4 linked regions of the Drosophila melanogaster genome follow. The protein of the gene in region 3 interacts with the protein of the main gene of each other region in a pairwise test. Each region holds a gene or a part of one and is shown on either strand. Other genes may lie near its edges.

Evidence for each region.
Region 1: the proteins of eyg (region 3) and Cda5 interact in a two-hybrid assay, tested with the Drosophila melanogaster proteins (one large-scale study listed by BioGRID).
Region 2: the proteins of eyg (region 3) and term interact in a two-hybrid assay, tested with the Drosophila melanogaster proteins (one large-scale study listed by BioGRID).
Region 4: the proteins of eyg (region 3) and sisA interact in a two-hybrid assay, tested with the Drosophila melanogaster proteins (one large-scale study listed by BioGRID).

The regions. Positions count from the first base shown.
Region 1 is NT_033779.5:55,173-62,808, forward strand, and holds the start of Cda5 (chitin deacetylase-like 5), read right to left. Parts: upstream 4,097-7,636; 5' UTR 4,018-4,096; exon of another isoform or gene 3,787-4,017; intron 3,560-3,786; exon of another isoform or gene 3,077-3,559; intron 3,022-3,076; exon of another isoform or gene 3,011-3,021; 5' UTR 2,979-3,010; coding exon 2,909-2,978; intron 596-2,908; exon of another isoform or gene 1-595.
Region 2 is NT_037436.4:18,590,912-18,597,243, forward strand, and holds term (terminus), read right to left. Parts: upstream 2,861-6,332; 5' UTR 2,701-2,860; coding exon 1,414-2,700; 3' UTR 1,392-1,413; downstream 1-1,391.
Region 3 is NT_037436.4:12,461,030-12,471,354, forward strand, and holds eyg (eyegone), read right to left. Parts: upstream 6,993-10,325; 5' UTR 6,590-6,992; coding exon 6,457-6,589; intron 5,136-6,456; coding exon 4,815-5,135; intron 4,135-4,814; coding exon 3,994-4,134; intron 3,869-3,993; coding exon 3,285-3,868; intron 3,074-3,284; coding exon 2,240-3,073; 3' UTR 1,508-2,239; downstream 1-1,507. Other genes in the region: CG32102 (uncharacterized protein), read right to left, coding at 8,128-8,394.
Region 4 is NC_004354.4:11,319,456-11,325,312, forward strand, and holds sisA (sisterless A), read right to left. Parts: upstream 2,903-5,857; 5' UTR 2,836-2,902; coding exon 2,266-2,835; 3' UTR 2,124-2,265; downstream 1-2,123. Other genes in the region: l(1)10Bb (lethal (1) 10Bb), read right to left, coding at 5,215-5,555, 5,637-5,730. UniProt on the Drosophila melanogaster protein: Involved in sex determination and dosage compensation. Required for proper expression of Sxl in embryonic somatic cells. Also has an essential function in the yolk nuclei. Involved in endoderm migration and midgut formation.

The sequences.
Region 1 (7,636 bases), on a different chromosome or scaffold from region 3:
GAGCAGCTGACCTGCTGCAGTTTGCCCTTGAGAGCCTTTAGCGTCAATTCCACTTAAATTTACCAAGCAGTGGTCTACGAAACAAACACAAAACACAACAACAAAAACGGAATCCCAACGGCAATCTCGTCAAGGTCGATGCATTCAACATCTGCAAAATCCAGTTTATACCCACAAAGGAGACGAAAAAGCCTCGACTGACATAAGCAAACCGTGTGCCGGACCATCGATTGCCAAGCAAAACAATCACAATTAACTTCTGTAAAAAAAAGAGCGAGCTAAGGAAATATTTGTGTTAGAAAATCCTTCAAGTATCAGTAAAATCTTCAATCTTAATAAAAATTATATGGACATTGGAAGCTAGCTTCGACAAGCCGAATCATCTAAACCCTTCGAATAATCGAATAAGAAAAATGTTATGATCAAAAAGGTTTATGCAGCAAATAGCATTAAAACTGTGAGATCAGTTTGCGTAGAAATAGACGAACGGACACGGCTATATAGAGCCGGCCGTTGATACTGCTCAATTAATGTGGTCGTAGATATAGGATAGAAAGGCTATACAAAATAAAAGTTTACAGCGGCTTTTTGCCGTAAAAGAAAGTTACTTTGCCGTAACAAGATTGGTGTAAGAGGGTTAAGTGGAGCAGCTGCGTCGGGCCCCATTTAATTTCACGATACGGTGCATAGAGACGTCAAGAGCTCTATTTACATGTGCTACGGATATGGACGTCGTCGGCTTAACGCAATGTTTTAATAGATTGCCCATTTCGTAGCAAAAATAATTTTCAACTGTAATGCGTAAGCATTTCAAGGTGAGTAGCGCCGTAAACAACAAGCTTGTAAGGGCAGGCGCAGAAGCTAAGAAAAGTTGGGTGTTGCCGTTTGGTAGTCTATTGGTACTCCTCGTACTGTGCCGACAACAATTTCGACGTCCAATTCAACGCAAATTATCTGGAGCCTTGCGAAATCCAGGGATTACCATTGCTGTGTGCAAATTTATTCAAGCTTGCCTCAGACTCGCTGGAATACTGCTTGAAAGCGAAAGTGCACTGTGTGCATGCAAAACAAAGTTGCGCCATGCCAATGGTCGTACATGCTCGTATAAAGTGTTCAGGTTACAGTCAAAGACCTAGCGAAGTAATTTAATGACGATCTTCCGCGTGCGCCAAAACTTTCGCACGGTAAGCATTGACACTGCCTGCGGTAAAAAAGAGACGAAATGATTAGGTCGAGGCGTGACCACCATACTAATGGTTTAACTGGCATTGAAACTGAATTATGATTAAAACCCCTTTGTTATACTATTCATTAAACACGCGCTTAAACAAATGTTCTTGCAAATGTTCAACTTTCGCCATTGGCCTCGTCCGCCTCAAACCTTTTTCTTTCAGCCATCGACATTCGCATTAAACCAGTAGTACATCAAATGTTTTAACACAAATTTCCTAGCAATTACGCATGAAAATATTTCCATGGCGGCATATCTAAGGTTTTACCCAAATATATATTTCTGTGGCTTAAAAAAACACCACTCAAAACACTGAGAAAGTTCATCAAAATGGAAAGTGTTGCCACTATGCCTAAACCAAGTCATGCAAGTCTTCATACCCTTGCGGAGGGTACATTCACTTAAGTCAGAAATTTCAAAGCTGTGAAGGACACAATTGTGCCCATATATGGTATATATATTTCTTGCTAAGTATCAACGACCGAATCGGTATAGCAGATAGATTATAAATTGTTTAAAAGAGGACGATCGGACAGCCGGGCTTGGCTATTTCAAGTTCGCTGTTTTTACTAATATGTTATGAATAAGATACATATATGCACTTTATAAGGCCACAAAGGTAATACAAAAAATCTATCTCAAAACAATTTAGCCGTCTAATGCTGTTATTATAATTTTAATAGTGTTAATCCTTACCACGTTATCTAAGCAATTTTCGTAGTTCCCAATTTGTTTTCTCAAATTTTGCATATATATCATTCATAAAAAATGTCTGAACAATTAAGCAAACTGTTTTAAAAATTATCAACAGTTATTATAGCCACAATTTGCTCGGTTACACCGATACACTCACTCACTTAGTGAACCTATTCAATCGAGTCAGCGAGCTGTATGCAATTAATATCTGTGTCATAAGCTGCTTGGTTGGCTGCTGGCTGATAACTTACATAATTCCATTACCATTACCCAGCAGTATGGTGAGTAGACAGCCCAAGTGACCAATAGTTGGACACGGTAAGGCTTGTTATGGTCGAAATGCTTGATTATGTTATTGTTCGCTGGTAAATAGAGCAGTTGATCAGACCATGTATTTACCTCCATACATACCCTAATGTAAATACTCTTACTTTTTATATATCCTAACACATTTCGCAGTAAAATGTCTTAATATATATATATATATATATATATTAAAATAAATATACATTTTTGGACATATTAAGAAACTCGTTTAGCCGGAGCCGGAGTATCCACAATAGAGCTCAACACAAGTGGTTAACAGCTGGTGGTTTGACTTCTTCTACGGTGATTGAATTTGACATTAGACTATTGCGAGCTCGTACATGGCAGCCGGAACAGTGTTCAAAACAAGTTTGGCTTTATTTGCGGAACATAATATTTCTATCACGAAGTTTCGAATATGATTGAGGAAAAGAAGAATCCATAGTACTGTAAAAACAATTCACTTAAAAATAAAACTTTTTCGGATCTACGTTTAAAAAAAGATTTCAGTTCATACATGAACTGAATACTTATCCATGGTTGTCTTAAAATCTGGTTAAGTGCTAACTCTTCTAGGACTAGTGGGTAAAGTGTGTAAGCCCTTTGCTCTTTTAAGTTTTTGCCTCCATTTGTATTTCTAGCAGAGTGTTCTTCACTGAAGTGGGCATTACTCACCTGTTTTAAAAAGCAGTAGGCACAATCCCAGCAGGCACAGAATGTTTATTCGACTTGTTGAATACTTCATATTGCAGGTATGGCGTGTCGTCGTAACTGTAACTGTAAATTTTCTTGATGTGGTTGGTTCAGTTTCGTTTTGGGGTTAGTTCACAGAATTTAAAATACCATAGGCAAGCTCGGATAAAAATAGTGGTTGGAAGCGCGGGAAGTGGGGAGCAGCAGCAGCCACCGTACCGATGACGGAGGCAGTTACCGTTGAGAAAACCTCTGTTTTGTTGAAAACAATTGCTAAATAACTAAGAAGGCAGTGTCGCAATTTTTCAATTTAGATTTTTTGAGCCTTGTGTTACAGTTTTCTTAATGGTGTGTCTGGCTTATGCCGCGACTGCGGCTTTGTGGCTGTGCCTTCACTTGGTTAGGACATGTTTGTATTGTTGTAAGCAGATTTAGTTTCTGCCCCTATTATTCGAGCTTTCGTTTGGCTTTAACCAACGCGACGATGCATAGCTAACACACACGTTTACAGATTACAACACTTAGTTTTCCTCCATTGCTTTTGGCAAGCGATTTTTAGTTAGGTTTTTTAGTTTCTTTCACGTGAGACTGCAATGACCGCTGTTCGTTTTGTAGTTACCATGGAAAAGATTGCTAGACAAAAATGCAAAGAGATCAAATCGAAGATCGGTGTTTGATTTAGATTTCCCGTACGGTATCGCGGGCACCTCCATATTGGAAAACTCTGTATGAACTAGTCTGTAGCGCGTAGAGGAAAATGCGAAACAAAATAAAACAAAACCTGCACGTTTTTATTTTGTTTGTCGAAGCTTGTATATATATTTAGCGTAAACTTTCTTTTTAACGCAAAGTTAGCTTACCACCGACACACACGCTTGAGCTCTTCGACTAAACTGCAAAATGCAGTTAAAACTGCTTTCTACAAAATGTTAAATTTTTGGCTGGTTGCAATGTCCAGTCAGAGGTGGACTTTATTTCGACGCGTTTACGAAATAAATTAGCAATCGAAAGCCCAAAAATTGATTGTGGCTTATTGCAAACAGTTTAGACCGCCTGACAAGTTCGGGTGACCCTCGAGCGTCTCTGCTTACCGTGCGCTTAAGCGAACCACACGTCCTAATCGAAACAACTATACAGCGCGACTGTGCGGACGAGTGTCTTGAGACTCTGGGCAAGCGCAGCCAGCCAACCAAGTTTCGAAGTCTGGCTTTTGGGCCAAGCTTGGTCTGCGCCACGCTTGGCCCCGACTGTTACTTTACATTAACAGACTGTTCAAGTTGTTGCTGCACCCGCGCGGAGTCGTTTGTATCTCTTAAGCTTTTGAAAGTAAGAGTAAAGTTAACGCTTGCGCCATTGCAGCTTTGCTACGTTTTACAAGTTATACAAGTTATCAGAAAAATGTAGTCCAGACCCATATTCTTAGTGAATTTCAACATTTTACTGAGAATTTCATCCAAAGCTCCCCATCAGTTTCAAGCTATCTACAAGCGGGGAGCGGGCTTTGTTTATTGTTTTCTGAAACTACAACAATATCCACCCTCTAGCCAACGAAGGCTGGGAAACTATTTACCAAGGCGATTGTGAAATGTTGTTACCTTTTTCGTTACATTTTCGTTTAGCAGCAGGTTTCTGGATCGCTCGATAGTGGATTACGGTGCTTAAATTAAAGAATGCTTACTACTTCAACATGGGCTTGGACTTGAATCCATGTCAAGCATGGGATCGAAGGAAGACCACTCAATCACTTTTAGAATTAATACCACCCAGCTGAATTGCCCTTGATAAATTCGATTTATATGCCCAACATATAGCTTTACTCTAAAGTCTAAAGTAAAGTGGCCAATTTCGAACCATAGAATTGAAAGTAAAACCGAGTTGAAAACATGGCAACGACCAAGAACTAGGCCAAAGCAGCCAACCAAAGCCAAGCAAAAGCTGTAAAACAACAGCTGAAGTAAAGGGGTTCTGGTGAACGGCGATGGCTGATGGTTTGAGCAAGGCATGCGAATTAATCTAATTCTTTATTTATTAATTTATTTTTGCTGGATTGTGTTTCACACGATTTTTTCTGTGAATGGAGGGCGAGGTGTTTTGTTGCATTGAATATTTTTGACTTTGTTTAGGAAATTATTTAATTATTTCCGTTACTATATTAAAAAGTGTGTAACGAAGTGTATCTTGAACTAAACGTTTCGGACCATATAAAATATACAAATACTTTATCAAGACCATTGGCAGAGTCGATCAGGCTTGTCCGTCCGTATTAACGTCGAGTTCTCAGGAACTATTAAAGCTAGAAGGTTGAGATTCAGCATACATATTCTAGTGACATGGACGCAGCGCAAGTTTGTTGTCCCATGTTGCCACACCCACTGTAACGACCTCAAGCAACCCGAAACTGCTACGCCCACATTTTTGAAAAATTGTTGCATATTTTTTTGTATATTTTCATCAGTCTTGTAAATTTATATTCATTTGCCAAATCCATTTTTTCCACGCCCACTCTTACGCCCACAGACCGCCCATAGCTATCGTTATACTAAGAACACTTTGGCGGCGTTCCTTCTAATGCCCACAAACCCCCAAAAGCTGCCACGCGCACACTTTTAAAAAGTTTTTGAGATTTTTTTTTATTTTATTATAACCCTTGTAAATTTCTATCGGTATACCAAGAACACTTTGGCCACGTTTGGTAAAACAGGCGATTTGGCAAACTCATTAATGAACCGTAATAACTCCGTTTCCTGAAACAAATATTTCTTCTGTTATGTATATGAAACCTGTCAAAATATGGTCAATAGTTAGCACGCATTAAGATATCGCAAGTTGATTCAGACAGAAAAAGCTCAACGGAAAATGATTGTCAAATTGTTGGCCCTCAAAACTCGCCTATAATGTTTTCGATAAAGTGGTTACCCGACAAGTAAACCCGCACTTTGCTTACACATGCAATTCGAATCGGTCAGAGCCTTCAGTTTATGGTATACTTGAAATATTGGAGCATTGTGCTTAACTCTTGAATAATAAATGGAAGACAAAAATACAATAGTTCCGTTAATTGAAAAAGTCATTGCCGTTAAACACTTAATTAAATCATATAGTTTTACGAAATGTTGAAGCATTAAATTTAATCAATGAAGTGAGTGACAAATCAAAAATGTCAAAAATTGTAGTGAGAGAAAAATTGTAAACACTGTGGATACATCATAGTTAATAGTATTATTTTCAAACGCAGCTCTCTTGGTGACTTCTGGTGTATGGCAATCTTTGTCTTAGGTGTTTGGGACATGCCATACTACATTAATGCCCTTGTTAATACAATTCCACATCGGCTACTTGTGGTCAAATTTATTTCAGCCTCTAACTCAATGATAAGCAAATTTCGTTCGATTGTCATGAAATTCCTTCGCGCACAAACTTTTTTGTGCCTTAAGCCAAGCATTTTGAAAGTATTTTGACTTTAATGGGTCCACTTTTGGACAGCGCATGCAGTTGCCTTTCTAATGACAATAAATAAAATTAATTATGTTTCAGTTATAACAAAAATGGACAAGTATGCAGTCACACCTACGAATCAAAATAGTTGGATAAACTTTTATCAACGATTTGTTAAGCTAAACGCCAAATATATTTTGTCTTTACTTTAATATCATATCAGACATTGAACAAATATCAATAAGAGTCAATGCTTTTAGTTAGGAATTGAAAAAACTATATACAGAATTTTCAGATTGTTAAATAGTTTAACATAACTTCTTATTTTATTTTCTTGCTCTTTCGTCTTTAGAAACAACACTAGAAGTCTTTCTCATTGCAAACAAAAGTACAAGTAATAGCGTGGTGACCTTCCCGTTCACCAACGTTTGGGGTAGGAACTGAAGAGAAGGGGAGTGGCCTTTAAGCAATCTAATTGTACAAATCAAGCGCAGCGCAAATGGTGGCGAATAGAACAGCCGTCAAGCTGCTATTACCGGAACCACTGGCCACGCCTTAGTTGGAAGCAAGTCGTAGTTATAGTTAGCAGCGGAGACTTACCTAACTAATCTGTTACATACATTTTAAGAAACATACTTTTCGCAGGTTTTTAAATCTCCCAACAACAGACCCTAAGAACGTGATATGTTTTGGTGTTGATACTCGTTTAATGATTGATTATTTTTCTATTGCTAATTGATTTAAGGGAAATAGTTGCAAAAAGTCATGAGATATTCGATACCTATTTAAAATTGAGTTTGAGTTAGTTTTCAAAGCAGCCGATTTGTACGAAGCCGGTTTTGTGGCTTTATTAATAATATTGTCACACTTGTAGCTCAAAGTTAAGAAACAGCGAATAGCATTGTAAGTTGAATAAACCGGATTTGAAACTGTAGCAGTACTTCACAACACCTTGCAGCCGCAGCGGTGCTACCTTTATAATTTCAGCAAGCAAAAGCTTATTACCCCAAGGCCGTTTTGTCAACGGGAAACTAGCAGACCTCTTATTGCCTAAGCTTGGGAGGATTGAGTTTTGCCGAGGCAGTTGCAATGCGGAAGAGATGTGTATAACTGGTACTTGGCAGAACATCCTTCAATATGCAGTGGCACTTACTTCCTCCTATAGGCAAGGTCTCGAATAAATATCGTTACATGGCTCCGTTACCCTCTCCTGTACGTACAGTGGTCCAACCAGTTCAAGATCGTGAACTACCTAAACTTGATGGGTTGTTTTGA
Region 2 (6,332 bases), 6.1 Mb from region 3:
CTTTAAGAGCGGCAGAGAGTCAAGATTACAGATACAGAATAAGATAAAGTCTATTATAGTCAGAATATAAAACTCTGTAAGGGTCATGCAACTCATAGTTAGATCTACAATGATTTAAGATAAGGGGTATATAGTTTCTAGTGAATCTACTTGTAACCGAGAAAATAAGCCGACTAATCAAGTCGGGACTCTCAACATCCCCACGAATAAGCTTACAAATAAAGACTGTTCCAAGCATAGTTCTACGTTTAGCTAGGGGCGGTAAATTAATTAAAAGTAGTATACTAGAATAAGGAGGTAATATACGGTTTGCATCCCAATTTAGGCGCCGCAAGGCAAAAAGTAAGAATTTTTTTGGACCGATTCAATGCTGTCCGAGTGGACTGCGTATTGTGGACTCCAAACAGGTGATCCGTCGAGAATCGGACGGACTAACGAAATAAATAAGGTTTTAGTCAAGTAAGGAACTTCACCTAACTTCACTATAATATACTATATACTGTGTTGTTGGTAATTCAATTCTTGTTCATAATTAACGTTTTTAGGTCGCAACTTCAGGTTCTCAAATGCGGAAATATTTATTTGGTGATCTGCTGCGAGTAAACGTGCAAGAGAGAAGACAATACTGGATATACATACATGTATATAAAATCTCAATCGCTTTATTTAGTATTTGATGATAATGAGGACAGATTAAGAAACATTGCAAAAACTTGTGCTACAGATTGTCGCAAAAATGGACTGCTTGCAATAGAAATCTGAAGCTATTCAAAGAAAGTACACAGATTGGCTTAAAATTGAGACCGTTTATAGCATTAAATCGATCGACGATCGTAGATCTACAGGACTTATAAAGGTCTTATAAATTATCGAGTGGAAGAACTCAGAGAAGAAAGGCGTCAAGTTTGGTGAAATCGACGGCAGGGAATATTAAATTATTGATTTAATATAAGGGTGGTAAATCAGACGTAGCATACATATTAAAACTGTTGGCTATCTGCCCTGAGAAAGCCAAAATCCTGCGCTCATTAATAAATCAGCCTGTTGCATTCGCACACATATAGTTGGGGCTACAAATATAGGTACAAGCATGTTAGTTACAAATGTTAGTATTTTATTTAATCTGGTTAACAACAGTGGTTAATATTTTTGCAGTCGGTCCCGTACTCGGTCACGTACTCCTGTCGCGGAGATGTCTGGATGTCTGCCAACGACAGTGGCGAGAGGTGCTCACAATTAATAATAAATATTGTCTTAAACGTTTGGCTTTGCAATAAAACGTATAAAATTCCTAAAAATTTTCACCTATTATTAAAAGTTATTAGCTATTATTGCAACCGCCACTACCCTTACATTGATTTACCCCCTGGTTAAAAGAAAGAATTAAGTTTCAGCTTAAAAGTTATCGTTTATTTAATAAAATTTACAAGGACTATTGTGCTGGGCGTTGCTGATGACGACACACGGGCCGTGCTGCACCTTCACGGAGCTCTCGCTGCGCCAGTCGCACTCGATGGGCACAAACTGACCCTTCCGCATCATGGTCTTGGGCTTGGTGATGCCGTAGCAGGCGTGCTGGAAGACGCTTCTCGAGATGGGCAGGCACTGCTCGTAGATCTCCACGATGTCCGCGTGCATGCTGTCCACGGAGAAGTCCTGGCCACAGCGCAGCTTCTGGTGGATGTGCAGTTTGCTGCGTCGCGAGAACTGGGTGCGACACCTCCGGCAGTGGAGGTCCTTTAGCGGCGAGCTGGTCTGATCCCTTTCGATGGAATTGACGGGGGTGGAGAGCTCGTGGAGCCGCTGGAATTGGCCCATGATATTGTTCAGGATGAGGAAGTTCTTGTTGGGCAGCTGCTGGAGGGTTTCGCTGATATGATAGGGCACCACATACAGCTCCTTGGTGGTCTTGCACTGCTGCAGTCCGTAGAGATTGACGCGCATGTTGGGCGGGAAGTAGCCGTTGCACTCGCGGAAGTGCTTCAGGTAGGCGGAGCGCAGACTGGCAAGCTCTGCCTCGCTGGTGGAGCAGCCGGTAGTGGCGGTCAGGCCCTCCTCCTCCTGAAGCTGCAGGGGTAGGGCGAAGACGGACGAGTCCGCTGACTGACCGTCCGCCTCCACCCTAATCCTCTTCACCTGTACTTTCAATCTGGTGATGCTGCACTCTGCCATGCCGTACTCGCTGCTGCAGTTGAGGTAGTTTTCAATCCTCTGCATAAGCATCTCGTAGACCACGCCCACGGATTCGTCTACGTCGTAGTGGTGGTCCGCCCTCAGCGAGCCGCTCTGAAAGATCAACACCTGGTCCATGGCGTTCACGTAGCAGGCCAGATTGAACTCCACGGCCACGGTGTTGTTCTGGAACATCCAGCGGAGAAGCTCGGGGATTCCCCTCGCACAGGTCTCGCCCATGAAGTGTTCCAGCTTGTCCTTGGAACTCTCGTCGCAGAAGAAGAAAGTCTCGATCTGGCGGGCCTCGATAATATCCATAACGGCCTGCTGTTGCTTGGTAAGATGCAAGCCCTGTGATGCTTCTCCTCCCCGCAGCCAATGCTGGGAGGGCGGCTCATCTGCGTCGATGGAGCTGTAGCAGGTGGCACATTCGTGTAACTGGCCCTGGGAAAACCACTGGTGGTGGAATGTCTGCGTGGTCTCCTCGTTGGTAAAAACGAAGCTGGAGATTATGGGCTCGTCGAACATGATTGAGATATGGAAACTTTGGATTCGAAAACTAAAGGTGGATATAGCTTTGTTGGACGATTTACCAATTTCAGGCACAAATAGATGATTACTCTTTCAGTTTGCTCCGGAAGCACTGAGATGTATCTATGGCAAGATTCAGTTGCTGAGTGATATCCTTATCTTCGTCCACCTGGCTTATATACAAACTAGTACTACAGGGTAACAGGTAGACTGTGAAGGTACATATATCCTTTGGTGTTACAAATCTACTTGTGGATTTTCCTTTTACCTAATCCGTCATATATTTTATGAGCATTCAAGTTGTGCTAATAATTGAGTACAACAGCAGCTGCGCGGTCATAAAGTTTTATTAGGTATAGGTGTATACGGTATAATCTGTTTTAAAAATGATAGAGCGGCTGGTATTAGATAAACGACGCCTACGAAGGGATTGGCAGTCTAATAGATCACCAATTACAAAGCACATGCTTAAGATACCCACACGCAGGCTTACCAATGCTCTCAAACAAGAGGAAAAAAACAGCCAACGTTCATATATCGAGCAACTCTCTCCCACCAGCACTAAGTACCCTCTTTGGAGAGCTCACAGAAACCTAAAGACTCCAATAGCGCCAATTATGCCACTACGAAGTCCCTCTGGCACCTGGTTTCGAAGTGATGAAGAAAGAGCCTGTGCTTTCGCTGACCATTTACAAAATGTATTCCGACCAAATCCCTCTACCAACACATTTATTCTCCCTCCTTTAATAGCAGCCAATCTAGATCCTCAAGAACCCTTTGAATTCCGACCATGTGAACTAGCAAAGGTTATCAAAGAGCAACTGAACCCAAGAAAATCGCCTGGCTACGACCTAATAACTCCAAGAATGCTCATTGAACTCCCAAAGTGTGCTATTCTTCACATCTGCCTGTTGTTCAACGCAATCGATAAGCTTGGATACTTCCCTCAAAAATGGAAAAAGTCGACCATAGTAATGATTCCAAAGCCAGGAAAAGATAAAACGCAGCCATCATCATATAGACCGATAAGCTTACTAACATGTCTTTCAAAGCTGTTTGAAAAAATGCTACTCCTTCGGATTAGCCCTCATCTTAGAATAAACAACACACTTCCAACACATCAATTTGGCTTTAGAGAAAAACATGGAACCATCGAACAGGTCAACCGAATCACGTCAGAAATTCGTACTGCTTTTGAACATCGAGAATACTGCACAGCCATTTTTCTAGACGTCGCGCAGGCATTTGACAGAGTGTGGCTCGATGGACTTTTGTTTAAAATAATCAAGCTGTTGCCCCAAAACACACATAAGCTACTGAAGTCATACCTATATAACAGAGTGTTTGCAATAAGATGCGATACAAGCACTTCACGCGATTGCGCAATCGAAGCTGGAGTGCCGCAAGGCAGTGTACTGGATCCAATCTTATACACCCTGTATACGGCGGATTTCCCCATAGACTACAATCTAACAACCTCCACGTTCGCTGATGATACCGCGATACTCAGTCGCTCCAAATGCCCAATAAAAGCCACGGCACTCCTATCCCGACACTTATCATCTGTAGAACGATGGCTTGCCGACTGGAGAATTTCAATAAATGTTCAAAAATGCAAGCAGGTTACCTTTACCTTAAACAAACAAACATGCCCACCACTGGTCTTGAATAACATATGCATTCCACAAGCCGACGAGGTAACATATCTGGGTGTTCATCTGGACAGGCGGCTCACTTGGCGCAAACATATAGAAGCCAAATCGAAACATCTTAAACTTAAAGCAAGGAACCTCCACTGGCTCATAAATGCTCGCTCTCCACTTAGTCTGGAGTTCAAAGCTCTTCTATACAACTCCGTCTTAAAACCTATCTGGACTTATGGCTCCGAGCTGTGGGGCAACGCATCCAGAAGTAACATAGACATTATTCAGCGAGCACAGTCAAGAATTCTGAGAATTATCACTGGAGCGCCGTGGTACCTTCGGAACGAAAACATACACAGAGACCTAAAAATCAAATTAGTAATCGAAGTAATAGCTGAGAAAAAAAACGAAGTATAACGAAAAGCTGACCACCCATACAAATCCCCTCGCAAGAAAACTAATCCGAGTATGCAGTCAAAGCCGGCTGCACCGCAACGACCTCCCAGCCCAGCAATAAACTTATTAGGGCATTAATGAAAAAAAAAAACTATCACTAAGTGAAAGTTAATTAAGTTAGATTAAGATTTGAACACTTATTGTTAGTCTCTTAACACAAAGAGAAGATTCAATAAATAATAAAAATTAAATAAAAAAAAAAAAAAAAAAAAAAATGATAGGTTTTTCAGACAGATACATTTTCAATAATCTTAAATAGAGAGGCGAGTGGTGGTATCACCCGCATGGAAATAACATTCTGGAACAAAATTATAAGATTATCCTAGAATCCTCGCAAACAAATAATTATTATAGCTACTTCATTTATGTTATTGATACTATCAAATATTGATACGAATTGATACTGGTCAAATTAGTTTTGAATTGAAACGAATTCAATAACGCTTTAGTGCGCTTTTACTTATTTAATTGACAGAGTGGCTTCCCCAATAATTTCTGAACAATTTTGTAGTTCCTATTCAGTTTTTCCATGAAAAACCACAATCAAAAATGTTAAAATAAACAGCTTTTCTTGAAATTCAGGTAGACGGAATAATCAAAAACCTAATGAAAAAAACCCTTTCTAATTAGCCATCGGGTTTAATGAGAGTGAAATCGAAAAAATATATTAATAATATATTTCTGGATTAAGCAATAGCTGTACCCATTAGAACGTACCCATTATTATAACTTGGAAAGAATATGTCAGAGAATATTTGGTTTCCAATAGTTCGATCGAAAATTGATTTGTACAGACAAAGGATTTAAAATCTTAAAGAAACATTGCAAGACTGCATGACAACATTTACTATATCAGTTCAGCAACAGAGTACATTTCCCCAAGGGCCAAACTCAAGTGTCACAACACGTAAGTCAACACGTGAAAATTGGATTATTAGAACGGCGCGTGAGTAAACAGGACACAATGCCAGATGAGGGATCCAGCAAATTGGTCTGGAAGTACTCCAGGACGACGACCGATGTCGATTGGATAACCAACGAGGCACAAAACAAGCGTCGCAGGAATGCGTTGCCATTTGAAATTCAGCACGGAGCCAGAAGTCCAGGACTCTCAGGATAGGAATGCGTTTTAAGGGGCATCAATAATTCAGTGAGCAGTGGCGAAGCCAAACAACTAAATTATCGCCAGAAGTCTCACACTTTACACGGCACATTTACAGAAGCTATAATATATATTATATGTGTATAAACTCAAAAATGCTATCAATTCCGTCAATTTGAGTAAAATTCTAGTCATGGCTTGTCCTTCAACCTTTATAGCAAAAATCCTAATCATTTAAAATCCAGTTTATAATAAATGTTGTTTTAGATTATAAGAAGAACGAAAGAGAAAGTAGAGAGCCTAAAATTTAGACTCACCCGGGTAGAGTGTCAAAAAAACAAAAAACACGGCGGTCCCGAGGTATGTCCCGCTGTCTGACTCTAAATCCTTGCAAAGTTTAATTATGCACTATAAGGATTGTTGTTGGG
Region 3 (10,325 bases):
TCGAGTCCGTCGGTGGAGCCTTGGTAAAGTTCATCGATTTCCGCCAACCCAAGACAATAAAAACTGCTCATACCCAACAGCGGGCAACAAAGATTTGGCAACAAAGTTGCAGGACAATCTGCAGGATCCTCGTGGCCCATCAAGTGGCCAACTGATCAGCTCGTCGAGGTTGCTGGATATACGAGCTTGAGATGCTGCATCGTAAAAATGTTTGACTGCGCGATTATATGGCGCTCATGAGAGCGCCACTTTGCCCTGGTCCATCAAACCAAGGCATCCTCCAGCGAATCCCTTGGAGCCGAAAATCACGTTGATGGAATCCCCAGGCCGTCAAATCAAAGTTAAGTACACTAAACGAAATCACTGAATGAGCGCGAACCCAAAAGGCAAATAAAAGCCGAATATACATATATTGTATGTATATATGTATATATATAGCACAGACGTGGCGCAGACTGTATAAATATCGTATAATGTATAATTTATGGGCCCGAGGTGAAAATATTTTCAATAGAAGGTGATTTAAATTTATTAAAGGAATGCTCACGAGCAGAGCTCCGCACTAAATTAGAATAAGTCGATTGGTGGTATGGCGATGGAGATGGGGCTGGGCCATTTGCTCATAAAAGCCCAAGCAAATTGAATTTGTGGACACCCGATGACCATTCCCGAGCCCAAAATTCTCAAATCCCCCAATACCCCCTAGTCCACAACTTCCAATCCCGATCCCGATTCCGTTCGGAGCTGTAAGTATCGACACGAATGGTGCTCCACGCTCTTTCGCTTATCAGATGCGAGGAGCTCATTTAAATCTCGGCCAGGCCAGAAATAAAGACGCGCATCCACCCGGTTAACCAACCTACAAAAGTCAACGATCCAAACCGATCCCATTCCAACCGATCGGATCGGATCCAATCCAAGCCTGCAAGCTCGCCTTTTGTTAACACCATAATTTACATTGATTTATGTGCTTAGTTGGTTCGGCATTTTTAATCGGTCCCCATACGATACCATATGATACCAAACCATACCATCCATTCTCATCTCCTCGTCGCGTTTAGTCTGTCCCCACTGTGTTTGTGCGCGCGGCTTCATTTGGTTATAATTAAAATGTCGATGTTATCAGCCAGATTTGGACATATTGGCCATTACGTTCGAAATTTAAGCGTTTTCTATGCGCGTATTTTGGATTTGGATTTTTTTTTTTTTTTTTTTTTTTTTTGATTTCGATTTCGTTTGGCTTTTTGTTCTGTCTTCGTTCGGTGTATTAATATTTAATAACGTTTTAAGAAGCTTTCGAGTGTTGTTAAATGCTTATTTATGCTTTTCGGCCGTGTTTGGTGTGTTTGTTTGTTGCCCAGTGTGTTTGAATGGATAATTATGCGTGAAATCGAACGTATAAATTGTATTTGTTGTCAAACCAAAGCGAGTCTATACAAACCGATTTCCTGGTCATATATTTCTGTTTGTTTATTGCCGAAAGAAAGTAAACGATTCTTCATTATTTCTTGCACTTTTTATTGGTTTCTCACTCAGCGGTTGACCATTTTAGTTTTTTTCTTTTATTTGAGCCAAAAACACTTAGTCTACGCACTAAATATCAGTTCAAACGCAACCAACTCAAGAATCAAATCCTTAAACAATACGCATTCATAAATAGATTTGGCTTAGGACTATTTTAAAGTTTAAAGTTACATATAGTTAGATATTGCATATGCTATAGCCTTAAATGGTGATGAGGTAAGTCGGCAGCCGGCGAATGAACAAGTATTATAGTATAATTATGCATAACTATAGGGTATACAATGGGCATGTGCATTTCAAGTGGGACAAGCGTGTTCGTATCGGGTATTAGTTACAATTTCAGCTAATCTTAAGCCGCCCATTATGTTGTTGCTGCTGCTTTCTGCTACATTTTTCTGTTTACTTTTTTCTATTTTTATTTAGTTTTTTTTTTCTTTTTTCTAGCGACCCCGAACCGCAGCCAAGTAGGTGAGCAGCATTTTAACTTTGGTTTTTCGATTTGTTTGCCCACTGTGTGTGTAGTCGCTTCTCGTATTTCAGTCCACCAGTTGCAATTTCAAATGCAATTGCAATTGCATCAGTAGTTGCTGTTGCTTTTGCTGCTTTTGTTTTTGTTGCCACTGTCAATCACAGAGGCGCGCACAACTCAGGTTTTCAATTAGACTTTGCCGCCGCCCATCTAGACCAGGTGGCCCTTGTCGCCCATGTCGCCCATCTAGCGGTCATGCTTTAGGAATTGCAACGTGGCCGGCGCATCGGAGGATGACAGGCGAGCCACCTTTGCCGCCGTTGCCGCCGACGACTCAATTTCACCATCGGAATCGTCGTGCACGTTGATCTCCTCATCCGAGTCCGATGACGAGTTGTCCACCGTCATGGTTGAGCCGCCAGATTGAGTGGTGTTGGTATTGGGTCCCGTGCCCTCACCACCGCTCCCCAAACCACCTGCGGAGTAGTGCAATCTGGAGCGCTGCTCCTCGGCGACCGTTAATGATGCAGCCACGGCATATTGCCTGGCCAATCCCAGGAAGGCAGCCGCCGAGGGCGAGCTCACCAGACTCCTGAAGGCACTACGCTCCCCGCCCATGGAGAGGTGATTCGCCGCCGGATTGCATCCACTGGGTGAGAGTTGCTGTTGTTGTTGATGATGTTGCTGCTGCTGCTGCTGATGCTGCTGCTGTTGTTGCTGTTGCTGCTGCTGGTGGTAGTGGCTGAGCAGCTGGAGGGCAGCTGGATGCGTGGGTAGGTGCAGAGGATGATGGTGATGGTGGCCGCCCGGAGGACCATGCAGTGGGTGTAACAGCACCGAAGGTGGCGGACCCTGTGGCGAGTGGTCACCGCACAGGGGCAACGGCTGCTGAGGTGGCGGCACGGGAGCCACTGGAGCGGAGGTGGAGGCACTGCTGTGGTTACTGGGCGTGGGCGAACTGGCCGGTGCATCGTTCGACTGCTGCGAGTGCAGCGGATTGGCGGGACTGGAGCGCTGACGCTTCAGGAGATTCATGCGTTGGTGGCGACGCCATTTAGCCCGGCGATTGGAGAACCACACCTGGAAAGGGTAGAAATAAATGATATTTAATAAAGATTAGTTATTTGAGGTTTTGGTTAATTGGCTTTGAAAGAGGTAACTCTAATTTCTGATATAAAAGTATTGATTTACTCATTAATTTAAATCAAATGGTATGTAACTACTTTACTAGCCACTTTTAATCTTGCTTTTTGAAAGTTTTGAGTGAAGCCTTTGTTTTCACCTGACTCACCTGAACTCTTGCCTCGCTCAAGCTGGTGCGACTGGACAACCGCTCCCTGGTGCTCACACAAGGATAATGACTCTTGTCGAACTCCTTCTCCAGCTCCTCCAACTGCTCCGGACTGAAGGTGGTCCGATTCCGCCTGAACTTGGGCTCATCATCGTCATCCAGATAATCGGAGTCTATGTGCCGGTTCTCATCCGCTGATTCCAAGGTATCATGGCTGCCAGAGCCAGGGGAGATGGCCCGATTGGTTGGTGTGCCACCTGCTCCGCCGGCCATCAAGTGCGCCGAACTGAGGGAGCCACAAGTGGAGACGGGCACAGCGCTCGCTGCACTCGGAGGCAGATTGGCGAGCGTGGGAGCGGCAACGGACCACAGGGCGGATGGAGGTGGCGGTGGTGGTACCCCCTGGCCGCCGGGCACATTGCCGGCCGGATGCCAGGTGAAGCTACCGTACGGATGAGGGGGTGGCGGGTACAGGCCATAGGCGGCGGTGCGAGCAAACTCGGTGGCCACCCGCTCGGCGGCTCGATTGCGCAGGATGCGATTGATGCTGCTCACCGATGGAGCGGTGGCATTAGTGCAGACACCTGCAAGGCGGGATTACGCAATTACCGAGCAGTCGAAGATCGAGATCAAAAGCTAAAAGCGACCGCCGATCAATCAGCGTTCAATCTGCGTCCGCGGATTAGCTGCAATTATGTGGAACACTCACCCTCCGAAATCAGGCGTTCTCGTATCTCCCAGGCGAAGATCGTTGGATTCTCGCGCTTGTACTGTTCGATCTTGGAGACGACCGTCGGCGTGGCCACCTTGGGCTTTGAGCCACCAATTAAGCCCGGTGGTCGCAGCGAGCCTGCAAGAATCAGAGCACAATTCCAGTTAAATTATGAGACAATGGATTTATGACTTTGCCAGCCTGGTTTTGGCAATCCATCTGTTTTTGGCTGGCAGCAAGGATTAACCCTGGTTGCTAATATCTTTATCTGCTCGTTTCATCAACATGTGATGTATGGAAAATATGAATGGGAAAACAATACAAGCCTTGGCAAATACACTGGTAGAAACCAGAGCAGCTCAAGAATTGGAAAACTTAAAAATGAGTGATTTTAACTACTTAAAGTTACTGTAATGACGGGTTTAAAAGACTTAAAAAATTCTAAACATGGAATAAATGTGATCACATATCCTTATTTGGAATTAAGCATTTTTTTCTTTCAGTGCACGGCAGCACGCACCAACCAACACTACCACCAAGGAATACCCGCTCGTGAATAAGCCGCATTTTGATTAATGAGCCAGCCGCGTTTTGGCCACCGCCAGTCAGGAGTTTATGCAATTTTAAGTGGCCAAATTACACGGCTGCGCACACGAGGGATACGCCACGCAGGGGATGGTAGGGGCAACTCGCAGGATAATAACATGTTTATCATAAAAATTAGCAAACAAATCGAAAACAAAGTACCCATTAGTTATCTGATGAGGGAAGGAACTGAGAAACTGAGCGGTCGTCCCTTTCAAGGGCTCACAACTCACCTAGCAACTTGGAGACAGCTCCCTGCTGGGTTAGCATGTGCTGGGCAATGTCATAGCCACGCAGTCCACCGAAACGTGAGAATTCCAGGAGGCGATGCTGTGACATCAGGGTGTTCAATGTGCTCCCCGTGGGTCCACCTGCACCGTGCGGAATGCCGCCAGTGGAGCCGCCGCCGCCAAAGCCGGGTGGTATTTGCACAGATGTGGGTGATGTGGATGTGGCCCCTCCGCCACCGGCTACCGCTCCCGATCCCGCTCCGGCCGCCGCTGCTGCCGCTGCCGCTGCTGCTGCTGCTGCTGCTGCCACGGATGCCGCCGCTACTGCAATTGAATGATAATTGGGTATTGTTATTTTATTGTGGCTTTAGCTGTCGCGGCCACAATGGTTAATTATGATAAATTAAGCGTTAATTGTGTTGACCGAACCGAAATGACTGATGGGTCCTACGAATATATTAGCGTTTCTATTACCCCAGCAAATGTCTAAGCTGATCGAATGGCCAAAATGGTGGCGACACGCAATCGAATCTTCCAGGCACGAGCAGATTTATCAAGCTAATTGATACGACAATGATCTCTTAGTACAAAAGGCGAAAATTAAAATATGTACTCAGCTGGATACGAAAAGAAAGCAAAAAACAAGTAGAAAAACAACTGTGTATTACGTTAATTCGACAGAATATTATATTTGCCTTCGCTTAAAAAACCTACATATATCATTCGGCTTGGGCAACTCGTCGCTCAAATTGTCAATTAGCGTTTTAAATGCGCGTTTCACTTTTGTTGTTTGTCAAGTAAATATTTTTAAAAAAATACGCGCACCTCCAGTCGTGCCTAACTGAATATACATATATGTAAGTATATGGGCCCATAATCAATTGTGCCGCCCATCAAATGAGAACCAGTTTTGTTTATTTCGGTCTATTTAAAGGTGAAAAGCAAGGAAATGGGACTGTCAAATGAGCCACGCAATTGGTAATGTGACATGCGTAACGATTTGTGTTTGTTTTAACTGAAGATTTAAGTTGGAATAACATAAAACATTTGTTATGAACATACTAAGTACGAACATGACAAATTTTAATCGCTTTCTTATAAATGGCCCACATTGTTTAAACTAGAAATATTATAAAGGATCACACTTATTTTATCTTCTGTTTAAGAAAATAAAAAGGCACTCAAAGTTAGTTTTACATAGACCTTTGTATGATCAATTTGATAATTTACATAATTTATCTACCATATACCATTTAAATAAAAAATTGTTTGTTTTACAGCGAAAAGTTAACACCAACTATATTCAAACTAAATGGATCTGGTTAAGAATTACACATAAACACATTTGACCCAGTTTGATACTTTATTTAATACTTTAACCGAAACACCGTTTTAACACACTAATTTAAACGATGCTTAGTTATTAGTTATACATAATTTCAATAATAGATTTTAGGTTTTATCGCGAAAGAACTAATTTGTTTAAATTAAAATTCGAACATTCCGGATTTGCTATCGAATGACATATTACACCTTTGACCCAGTTTCGGATTTATTTTTTGAAGATTTGTGTATATTTTCTTAAAATCCCCAAGCCTGGCTTTGCCGTCGGCAAGACTTCACATGGGCACTTTGGGGCACTTACCACTGGAAGCGTGAGGGGCCAGCGATGTGATGCGTTGGGGATGGGGCTCCATTTTCCAGTGCGCGGCCGAGAGGCCAGAATTAGCGACAGTAAGCGAGCCAAGGTCACGGTTTAAAGTCGGCTCAATCAACATGTCTAAGAATCGCTCTTTCCAATTCTCTTTATTATTTATTGTTATTTTATATTTGTTTATTTTATTAATTTTATTTGGGTATAACACAATCACAGTCACAAGTGTCGCACATCCAAGGCAGAGGTATCGATTATAGCGAATGCAACCGGAAACGGAAATGGAAACGCAATGCGGTCAATTGGATTCATAGCGTGCTGCTCACTCACACACTCGCATACACACGCACACAGATACACACACAGTGACAAATGCACGACAGTCGATCCCGACAGAAACAGTTAGAAAACGCTCCTGCGTATCTCTTGCTCTTATTTTTATTATAGAATTTGTTTTTATCGAATTTCTTGCGAACACTGCGCTCCGTTGAAACGTTGTTCACGCGAAAGCTGCTCTCAGCACAATGAGCGCTTGAATTTCACCTGGTCACCCGGGTCACTCCGCTCCACTCGAACAGTTTCACTCCGCTTTTGAGTGCTTTTCGAAACGCCAACCGGTTTACGAGTACCGTACTTTCATAATGGCGCCCGTTGAGGCAAACTCTTGCTCTCTCGCTCTTCTGCGCGAGAGCGGGACAACCACATGCACACTATGCGCGCACACAAATCAAACAATTATAAACTCGTTGTTGGTAAAGTGCTGAGTATAAACAGTGGCAAGAAGAAGAAGAAGAAGCAGACGAATGAAGAGCAGTGAGTGTGAGAGAGAGCGAACGCTTTGGGGAAGTGACAAGAAGAAGAACCAGAATAAGAAGAGAAAGAGGAGTTGGGGAACCCTTTAATTTTAACTACAAATGTAGTTGGGATACCATAGCACGTTTGAAGTCAACCTTTAGGTGCATTTCTCGCCTAATGTAATATTCTAATTGATTGAATTAACCGTACAGCTTAAATTGTACCATTTAGGAACATTTAGTTCGTAATCTTTACTGTTGAGTAATGCATTCAATTTATCGTTACTTTAAGCCAGAGACCATGGCCCCAATAAGTAGGCACTTTCAAATACCAACTCTTGATTATCATATCGATCTGTGTACAAATGAGCTACATTTACAAAAGTTCATGCATATGTATAATCTCTAACAATTAAGGCTAAAGACTGAAAAGAAGTTTGGCTTTTTGCTTACACTTCTAAAATAAATAATAATAATAAAATATTTTATTTCGAAATTATTAAAATAGCTGTAATATTGTATCAATAAAATGGCAGTATGGTATGTTTGTTTTACTTTTTATTTGATTCTACTCAGGAGAAAGACAAAAAAATATATATAAATAATTGGTAAATAATACCTCAGCAAAATATAAACATTAGCATTATAATAAAACAGAAAAGCATTAAATTGCTTCCTTTTTGTGGACTTCATAACTACTATTCCGCTTTTAAACTGACCAATTGCAATTAAAACTCGATTTTTAAACATAAACTTATTAAAAGAAGATTTAAGCCTGAAAGTCCTTTTTAAACAAACTAAATCGTTTATTGCATTGAAAGATAACATAAAATGATCGCTAAATAACAATAACTAAAATGCCTGCAATTTAAAAGAGCTTAGTAGCATATAGCCATTTGAAAGGAATTTTAATCCGGTCAAATGTGCAGTGAAGTGGCCAAATTGCATCCATTGCGATCCAGAGTGAACCTTGGACACGTATAAATCGCATGCGTGGCATGGGCCGTTTGCCATTCAGGTTTGCACTGCCCGTTTTGGGTCGTTGTCTCCCGGCCTTTGGTGCGTGATGGATGATTGATGTGCTGCCTGGGCAAGGCAATCCGATGTGAATCGAAACTGCAACTAAACTACACATGGCGTGATCGGGGAGCCACACAGATCACAGCTCGCAGCTCGCAACTCTCAGAACAGAACGGGGCAGAAACGGGCTACACCAAGTGGCAGAGTGGCCTGCACAGAAGCCAAATTGCATCAAAGCCCACGGATTGAGTGGCTCCCGGCGATGCAGGATTCGAATTGGAAGCTGAAAGATGAAAGCTGAAAGCTGAGAGTCGAGTTAAAAAGCAATTACCTGAAATGATTCCCCAATGGAATGAGATGGGATGAGATCAGTTGGGATGGGATGGGATCGGGTGGAAAGAGGAGCGAGTGCAGAAATCTGGATGCGAAACGATATGGTTCAGCAGAATCACCTGGCGATAATGAGATGTCTCACTAAGCTGATCAGAACTGCCTTTGTATTTATTTGTCTGTTCGAATGCAAAGTGCACAATGCACCGAACACTCGTGCATATATGTTTCTTCGATTTGTGAAAGGCGAATCATGAATGAAACGCTGCTGACGATGACGTTCGAGTGCCCTCATGCCAGAGATCCAGAGCAAACGCAAACAATCGAACAGGAATAATTTACTAAGTAAATAATATCTGGATACCGATCGCTGCACGGTAAGAAATTGCGTAAACCGGTGACCCATATTGCTCAGCAACCAAAGAAACCTTTCAGCACTGAGATATTTTTCATTCCATTGTTTTCTGGGATAATTTAAAGTAACAGAATTATCTTCTTACAACATTTTTTTGTCTTAACTTGACAGTAAGAGTTCTTAATTAAAGTCTGAAATTTTTAAAAATATTTTTTACGATTTTTTTTTACTAGTTTACTCAAGATCTATAGCAATATTTAAAGAGTTGAATCAATGGTCTCTATGGAATAGTGTTATATATGGTATATACATATTTCGTAACCATTTGATCCCAATTTTGGCCAGTGTAATCCCCGCGAGTAGCGTGCGCCCTCGCCCCATCAAGTGGCACTTCAACAATCAAGCATTCACACAAGCAGATGGTCCGCAGCCGTTGGCGACCACCTAAATGAAATTTCATTTAGTTTTTTTTCGCCCGTCATCGCCGCCGCAATCGCAACCCGCTCCTCGAGATCTCCCCATCCATCGCAGTCCATCCAATCCATCCGTCCAGCGCAGAGTTCCAGCCCCAATCCCAATCCCAATTCCAATCCCAATACGGTCTCCTATTTGCTTATGCACACATTATCAACGTACGCCCGCCTTATGGAGTGTTTGTTTACCTAATTCGATTACCGATCGCGTCCGTTCGCGCCATAGTCCACCGGCCACTTGACCATTTGGGTGGCACGGATCCGTACTCATGGGGTCCGCTCTTCGGCCAGACGTCGTGCGTAATCGCCCCACGGCAGCTGATGCAGTGCAGCGGAATTGGGAGATGGAGATGGAGATTATGTTGCTGCTGGAGCCGGGGGCCTTAATTGAAGAACCTGCCACGGGGGTACATACATACATACTTTCATCGCTTTGCAGTCGCGGAGGTAAATTAAGTCTTAATATCCTAAGTCGAGTGTCTAAAGATTAGGAAAATAAACACTCAAGGACTTTATCGATTCGTAAAGAAAAATCAAAAGTAAACTGCAATTACATTTCAATAATAAACAACCCTATATCAAAGAGTCTTCTTTAAATTACTGCTTGTCAATTTCTTAAAATTAATAAATAAATCTATTCAATCATGTTCTAATTGATAAAAGTAAAGTGTGCCTATTCTCATAAAATTTGTATAAACATTCAGGGAGTTATTTAAATAAGGTATATTTACGTATTTATACGTATACAGTTATTGAATGTTATTTTTTTTTTTAAATGCCTCGCCAGGAGCTGTTAAACATATATATTATATTATCTAGATGTTGCACATGGTATTTGAAACACTTTTTAAATAAATCTTGGACAAACATGTAAAATTTAGTAGTTAT
Region 4 (5,857 bases), on a different chromosome or scaffold from region 3:
GCGGAGCAACAAAGAGCATCAATAAACTTCGCCTTGTGTAGTTTTCAAAATGAAAAATAAATTGGAAAATTGAAAAAGCAATTCATCGCATTAGGAACGTGCAGTGAATGGAGGTGGATTTTGTTGTGATACCACCCGCTCCACGAAGCGTCGCCGATGCCCATTGACAATGCCGAAGCTTTTTATCGTCTTTGTGCCAGGTGCGTCCACCAGACAATGGACAAAGGGGCGGTGGGGCGGTGGGACGCATCCTTGACCAGTACTCGGTCCGGCTCTCCAGTAACCCATCAGTGCTGTTCGCCAACTGGTAGTTTCATGTGAATACCTATGTAATGTGAGAGGAAGTCTGGAAAAAGGATTTAGATATTAGGTACTTTTTCATTAATCAGCTGAAAAGTAGGCAGCAATATTTTAACTATTTGTGAAGCAATTTTACTTTTATGTGTGATTGCGTGATAAAGATACTTTACTTCAGTTACATTCCTTTGGATACTTTCCTTTGTATACATTCCTTTAGATACTTTCCTTCAAACACTTTCCTTCAGATACGTTCCTTCAGATTCGTTCCTTCAGATACTTTCCTTCAAATACTTTCCTTCAGATACTCGTCTTTAGATACTTTCTTACAGAAAACGATATACTGATCTGTTTTGCAGCGCCATCTACTTCTGGTAATACTACCCATTTTTACCATAGCATCTGGATGGCCTTCATCACTCCCGGTTTTCTTTTCATTTCTGAAATTCTTCGACTGCATTCAACACAAACGAGCTGAGCTTTTATGGCCGAGCGATAAAATCAAATTGAAGTTCTTTTCCGGCACTTTACAAGAGGGAGTGAAAGAGAGAGCGTTGTGCGGGAAGAAAGAGATGGGTGAAGTGGGTGCAAAGTTTCAACCATTTAGTATTATGACAAACAGTGGTGGACAGCACATTAATAACTGTACTCAAATATTGAAAATTATTTCAAAAGTTTTCCGTATTTTAAAGTAGAAAAGTCTTTTTTTTAATTTCATTTAATATACATATATTTGTAGCTCATAATATCGCCTTTAGGTAACAAAATTAATGCTGTACCACAGTTAGGTACACGAAGTACCTTTCCCCGCACTGATGACGTTGAATCGCTGAATTGTGTGCACTTGAGTGAACGAATAAGAGTGAGACGTGCGTAGTTAAGAAGCAGCAACAGAAAGTTGGAAAATCCAGGGAAATGGGGGGATAGTGGGGATTTAGCCGGAGGAAAACTGCAGCGATGAAATCATTTGTAACCTGGCACGTGAAAATGAAATTTTTGAGCGAGCATCAGCTTGAAATTCGATTGGCCATTGTGGCGAAATGCGTTTTATACTCTCGTTTTTACATTCCTATTATTTGCTCCTCCATTCATTCTTAATGTTGTGCTATTAAAAAATATCTGTGAACAGTAGTAACGACTAACTGATACCTAAAGAGTTGAAAAGATACGGCGTGAAATAGAATAACTTTTTGGGGTAAAAAACAATCAGAAGTATCTATATTTATCCTTCTCATTACGCAGACATCAAGATATTATGAGAAATTACTTAAAAAATATATGTAGTTATTAAAATTATATTGTATATATATATACATAGTATATACCCTTGGCAAGCATTTAGTAAAGCTTCCAAGTTCAGTTCGCAGTTCTTAAATGAAAACACCAACCAGAAAGTGGGGTGCTATTTGCAGTAGTAGCCCCACTAAATTTAGCCACAATCTCTTACAGAAACCTGCTCTTAAGGCCATTACTTCCATTGCATTTGCTGCTTTTGGCAACGCAAATTGTTCGCAAGCCAAAAAAAAAAAGGGAAAAAAAGAATGGAAAGGGGGAAAAACGTGAAACGGGGAAAGCGAAGTGCAATCATGTCGGATCAAATGAACTGAACTTAAGCAAGTCGAAATGGGTGCATTGCATTGGCCCAATTCCGATGGGATTACCTTCGGCCAGGCGAAGGAAACCCCAAGACTGCCGATGCGTTAAATGCAGAATAAATGCATCCAAATTATGGGAAATTCTTGTAAAGTGAAATTAACAAGTTATCCTTGACTCCATATGATCGTGTGAACCTATAACAAATATTTGAATAAGAAAGCATTCGTTTTCAATATGATTCTTAATTTTATTTAAAAATTTAATAATATGCTTAGATAAATACTAGATATAGTCAACAAAAAAAAAAAGTGGTATGGCTAATGCTGGACTAGTCAGGGATCCGTTCCTGCGACACATAGCTACACTATGATATCACTGCTCCATTTCCAGGCCGAAAGTGGCCCGCATCCGCTCGAGTGTGGCGGCGGGATATCCCCGCTCGAGCAGCTGCCTCTCCGCCTGGGCAATCACATCCCGCATCGTGTCCAACATGACGGCGCTCTTCTTCAGCTGCCCGCTGACGAATTTGTGCCGGAAGCGCAGCTTGGCCTTCTTGATCTTGTTGTTGTAGCGGGATTTGCGGCACGACTCGGCCCTCTGACGCTGGGCATCCTTGACATCCGAACCAGAACCGGAACCTGATCCGGAACCCGATCCGCGGCAATCCATAGCAAGCTCCGTTTTCAGCGGCGGCGGTGCACGGCGCTCCACAACAATGGGATTCTCCAGGAGCATCTGGTCTACGTAGCGTTGCTCCTCGTCGGCGTAGTGCATTTTGAGATGATGCAGCTGCTGGGACACCAGCTCCTCGATCTGCTCCGGCTTCGATGATGTTGACGATGCTGTCGATAGTGCGGGTGAACTGCTTCCGCGATACGGTGCGTATACGTGACCCATGGCCGCGTAGCTCAGAGTGGGCAAGTAAAGATGACTCCGTTCCATGGTGATTTTTTTCGATGTGTGACGTGGTCTGTGACTGCTCTCGTCGAGATTTCGTGTGCTAATGCTGCCTTAGGCAATATGTCAGCCCCGTTTTATACCATTTCCGCAGGTAGCTTGCCATTGGACACTGGATGGGTTATTCGCGGGTTCTACCTTCATGAATGGCGGTCACTGGGATTTATGATCTTGTTTTCCTCAATCTTGTCGCCTTGCTGGACACCGCCTACCTGCATCCGGATTGGCCAACGAATCGCAGATATGTAAACAAAGGGATTAGGGTAGCAGACGCACTGAGTCTACCTGATAATTGGTCAAATTTAAAAACAAAAGGATCAGGTGCGAACCAATATGTGGGTTTCTTCAATGGCTACCTACATACATATGTATGTCGGTATGCAAATACTCCCCATAATATAAAAGATATTCTAAGCCAAGAGATACGATTCAATGCAACTGATAAGGGCGTCATTAAATCCACAATAATCCCAAGGTCAAGCTGGGCTGTTCGTCTATCACCATCCATTTGCCGATTCGCGCCTTATCTAGCAGCCGAAATGAGTCAACAAATGTTGGGCTATGTGGAAAATCAACCTGCTTGGGCAAATACGAGCATGTCAAGCGGGTGGGATCAGGCGGCATTATGCGATAAGAGACACCAATATCGATTGCCATTGCTACCTGCTAAAGTTGCTATTTGTCCATTCCGGATCAACCCATCTGGAAGTGGGTTTCCCGCATCAGGTAGCCATTTCAAGGAGCCACTTTCGACGTGGTGGCAAACAAGTTGCGGCTTGTTGTCGTGGGATTAACCAGCCGAACCGACCGCATTTAGTCTATTAATTAATTTAACAGCCCTCGAAACGATGAGGGGTTCAGCGACCTGCTTAGCAGGCCTCAAAGGGTTAAACCAGAAATCCCTTTGGCTGAGAATAATATGTAATAGAGTTTGGTGGACCAAACTCAAAATCCATAAATAGTTGCTATCTCTGGCTGATGTAATGTAATATTTAACTAGCAATATTATAGAACAATATGACGCAAGCAGCAACTTATGCTAATTAAATAACCAATTAATTGTTGAACAAAAAGCAGTAAAATGTTATAACACTGCAAGTACCCAAAATATACTTTCCACTTGCTCCATTTTCATGTATTTCAATTTACAACGCTGCACATGTGTGCCACTCGAATTACATAACTGGCATAAATAACTCCGCTGGGTAATTGGCAAAACAATTGAGTATTTTTAGTGACCGAAAGCAGTTTTAATTCGAAATCCCCCATTTCAGCCAGATGGGGGCAAGCTGTCAGCGGCAGACGGGCAATAATTTTTCCATTTTTCGCATTTTACCATTTTCCATTCGGCATTAACCATTTGCCATGTGAACAATAAAATCGACAGCGCCGCGTTTGTTTGGCAAATGAGAAAATATGCAGACAAGTATAATTAAAAAACCATTTATAATCATTTTCGACCAAATCCCAATTGGCCACCCAAAACCAAACCAAACCCCGCAGGAACACTTGAAGCCTGACAGTTTTCAGCTTGAGAATAAGTTGGGAATGCCGATGGCCGGAATACTCTAGCTGAATTGGATGACTCAAGGAAATATGTATATACTCTTATTTCTATATACTCAAATGTTGAACTAGGGCTTCCATTTTCGGACAATAAAGAAACACTATACCCTTAGAAAGAGTACTGAAAATCGAGGAGCAAGGCGACGATAAATGGACGCACATGAAGGAGACTCCGCCACATCCCCGAAAACGACATTGAGTTTGAATTATGTCAGCGCAGCAATAAATTGTCCAAGGCATTAAATTAAAATATATGTATGTATAGTATATATCGTTTAAAGAAAAGCTGTGAAATCATTAGAAGGACGTACGTAAATTGCATATTTTACTACAGAAATTTTCACAACTCACATATTGAGATGGCTAGATTATAAAAAAAGGAATATATTTAAGTTAATATTCAAAACTCCACTTCGACATATGTAGGAAATTTAATTTATTAAATGCTTTTAAACATTTTCATAAATTATAATCTTTATTTATTTGATTAAACTACAAGTTAATTTCTATCTTTTCTATACATTCTAATACAAAAATGTCTGCTCATACCATTTCTACATTTTTTTTTAAACAAATCGGAACGCATTTCCCAACGATGCCTTGTCGTTTACATAATCGGTTTATTGCAGCATCTATTTAGATGTTTAGCATGCCATTAACCATAATTGTGGCTTGTATTTAAATGTATTTACATACTATGAAGAAATCAGGCGAAATCTAAAGTTGAACCTACTGAACTATGTATTATGAGGATTATTTGTGTCGAATAAAGATGCCAATAATGCGTCCACATGGAATCTAACCGGAGCAGCCGCGACAACCGCAGTGGACACACTCAACGATCCGACCCTCTTCCAGTTTGCATTTGGGCACCCGGCATATGCAGTTCGTGCCGAAATTGGTGTCCCTCGTTTGAATGCAGCGCAGGCAGCATAGGTTCTCGTATCCAGACTTCTTCCACTTGGCAATCAGATTGCCATCGGCAATCTTCTCCTTCAGACAGTAGTCGTACAATTCCCGGCTGATGGCTTTCCGGCGATAGAATAGATCGTAGATGTATCGTGTCTTCTGGTGGTGGATCTTGAAAATGGGCCAAAGGGATTCCGTAATGCGTTTGCCCTCGTGCGGTTCCGTTTCGGCTGTTTAAGAAGGTTAATAATATACGTATAGGATTATAGTAAAGTTTTCATTATCACAGAAGCCGCCACGCTTGTCCTTACCTTCGCGCATTTTTTGCTCCAGTTCCTCGAGAGTTGGTTCGATCAGCTCCCAACCGTCTGGCGGTGGTTTGCGACTGCGGCGAACCTTGGGCATCTTAAATGTTCAATTTATTTAACTGTAAAACTGTTTAATTTCTCTTAAAAATGCTTAATTTTGCTTGAAAAACAAACATTTCACAAACAGCTGGCTACTTAGCGATGACACTTTCCACATGGGCTGT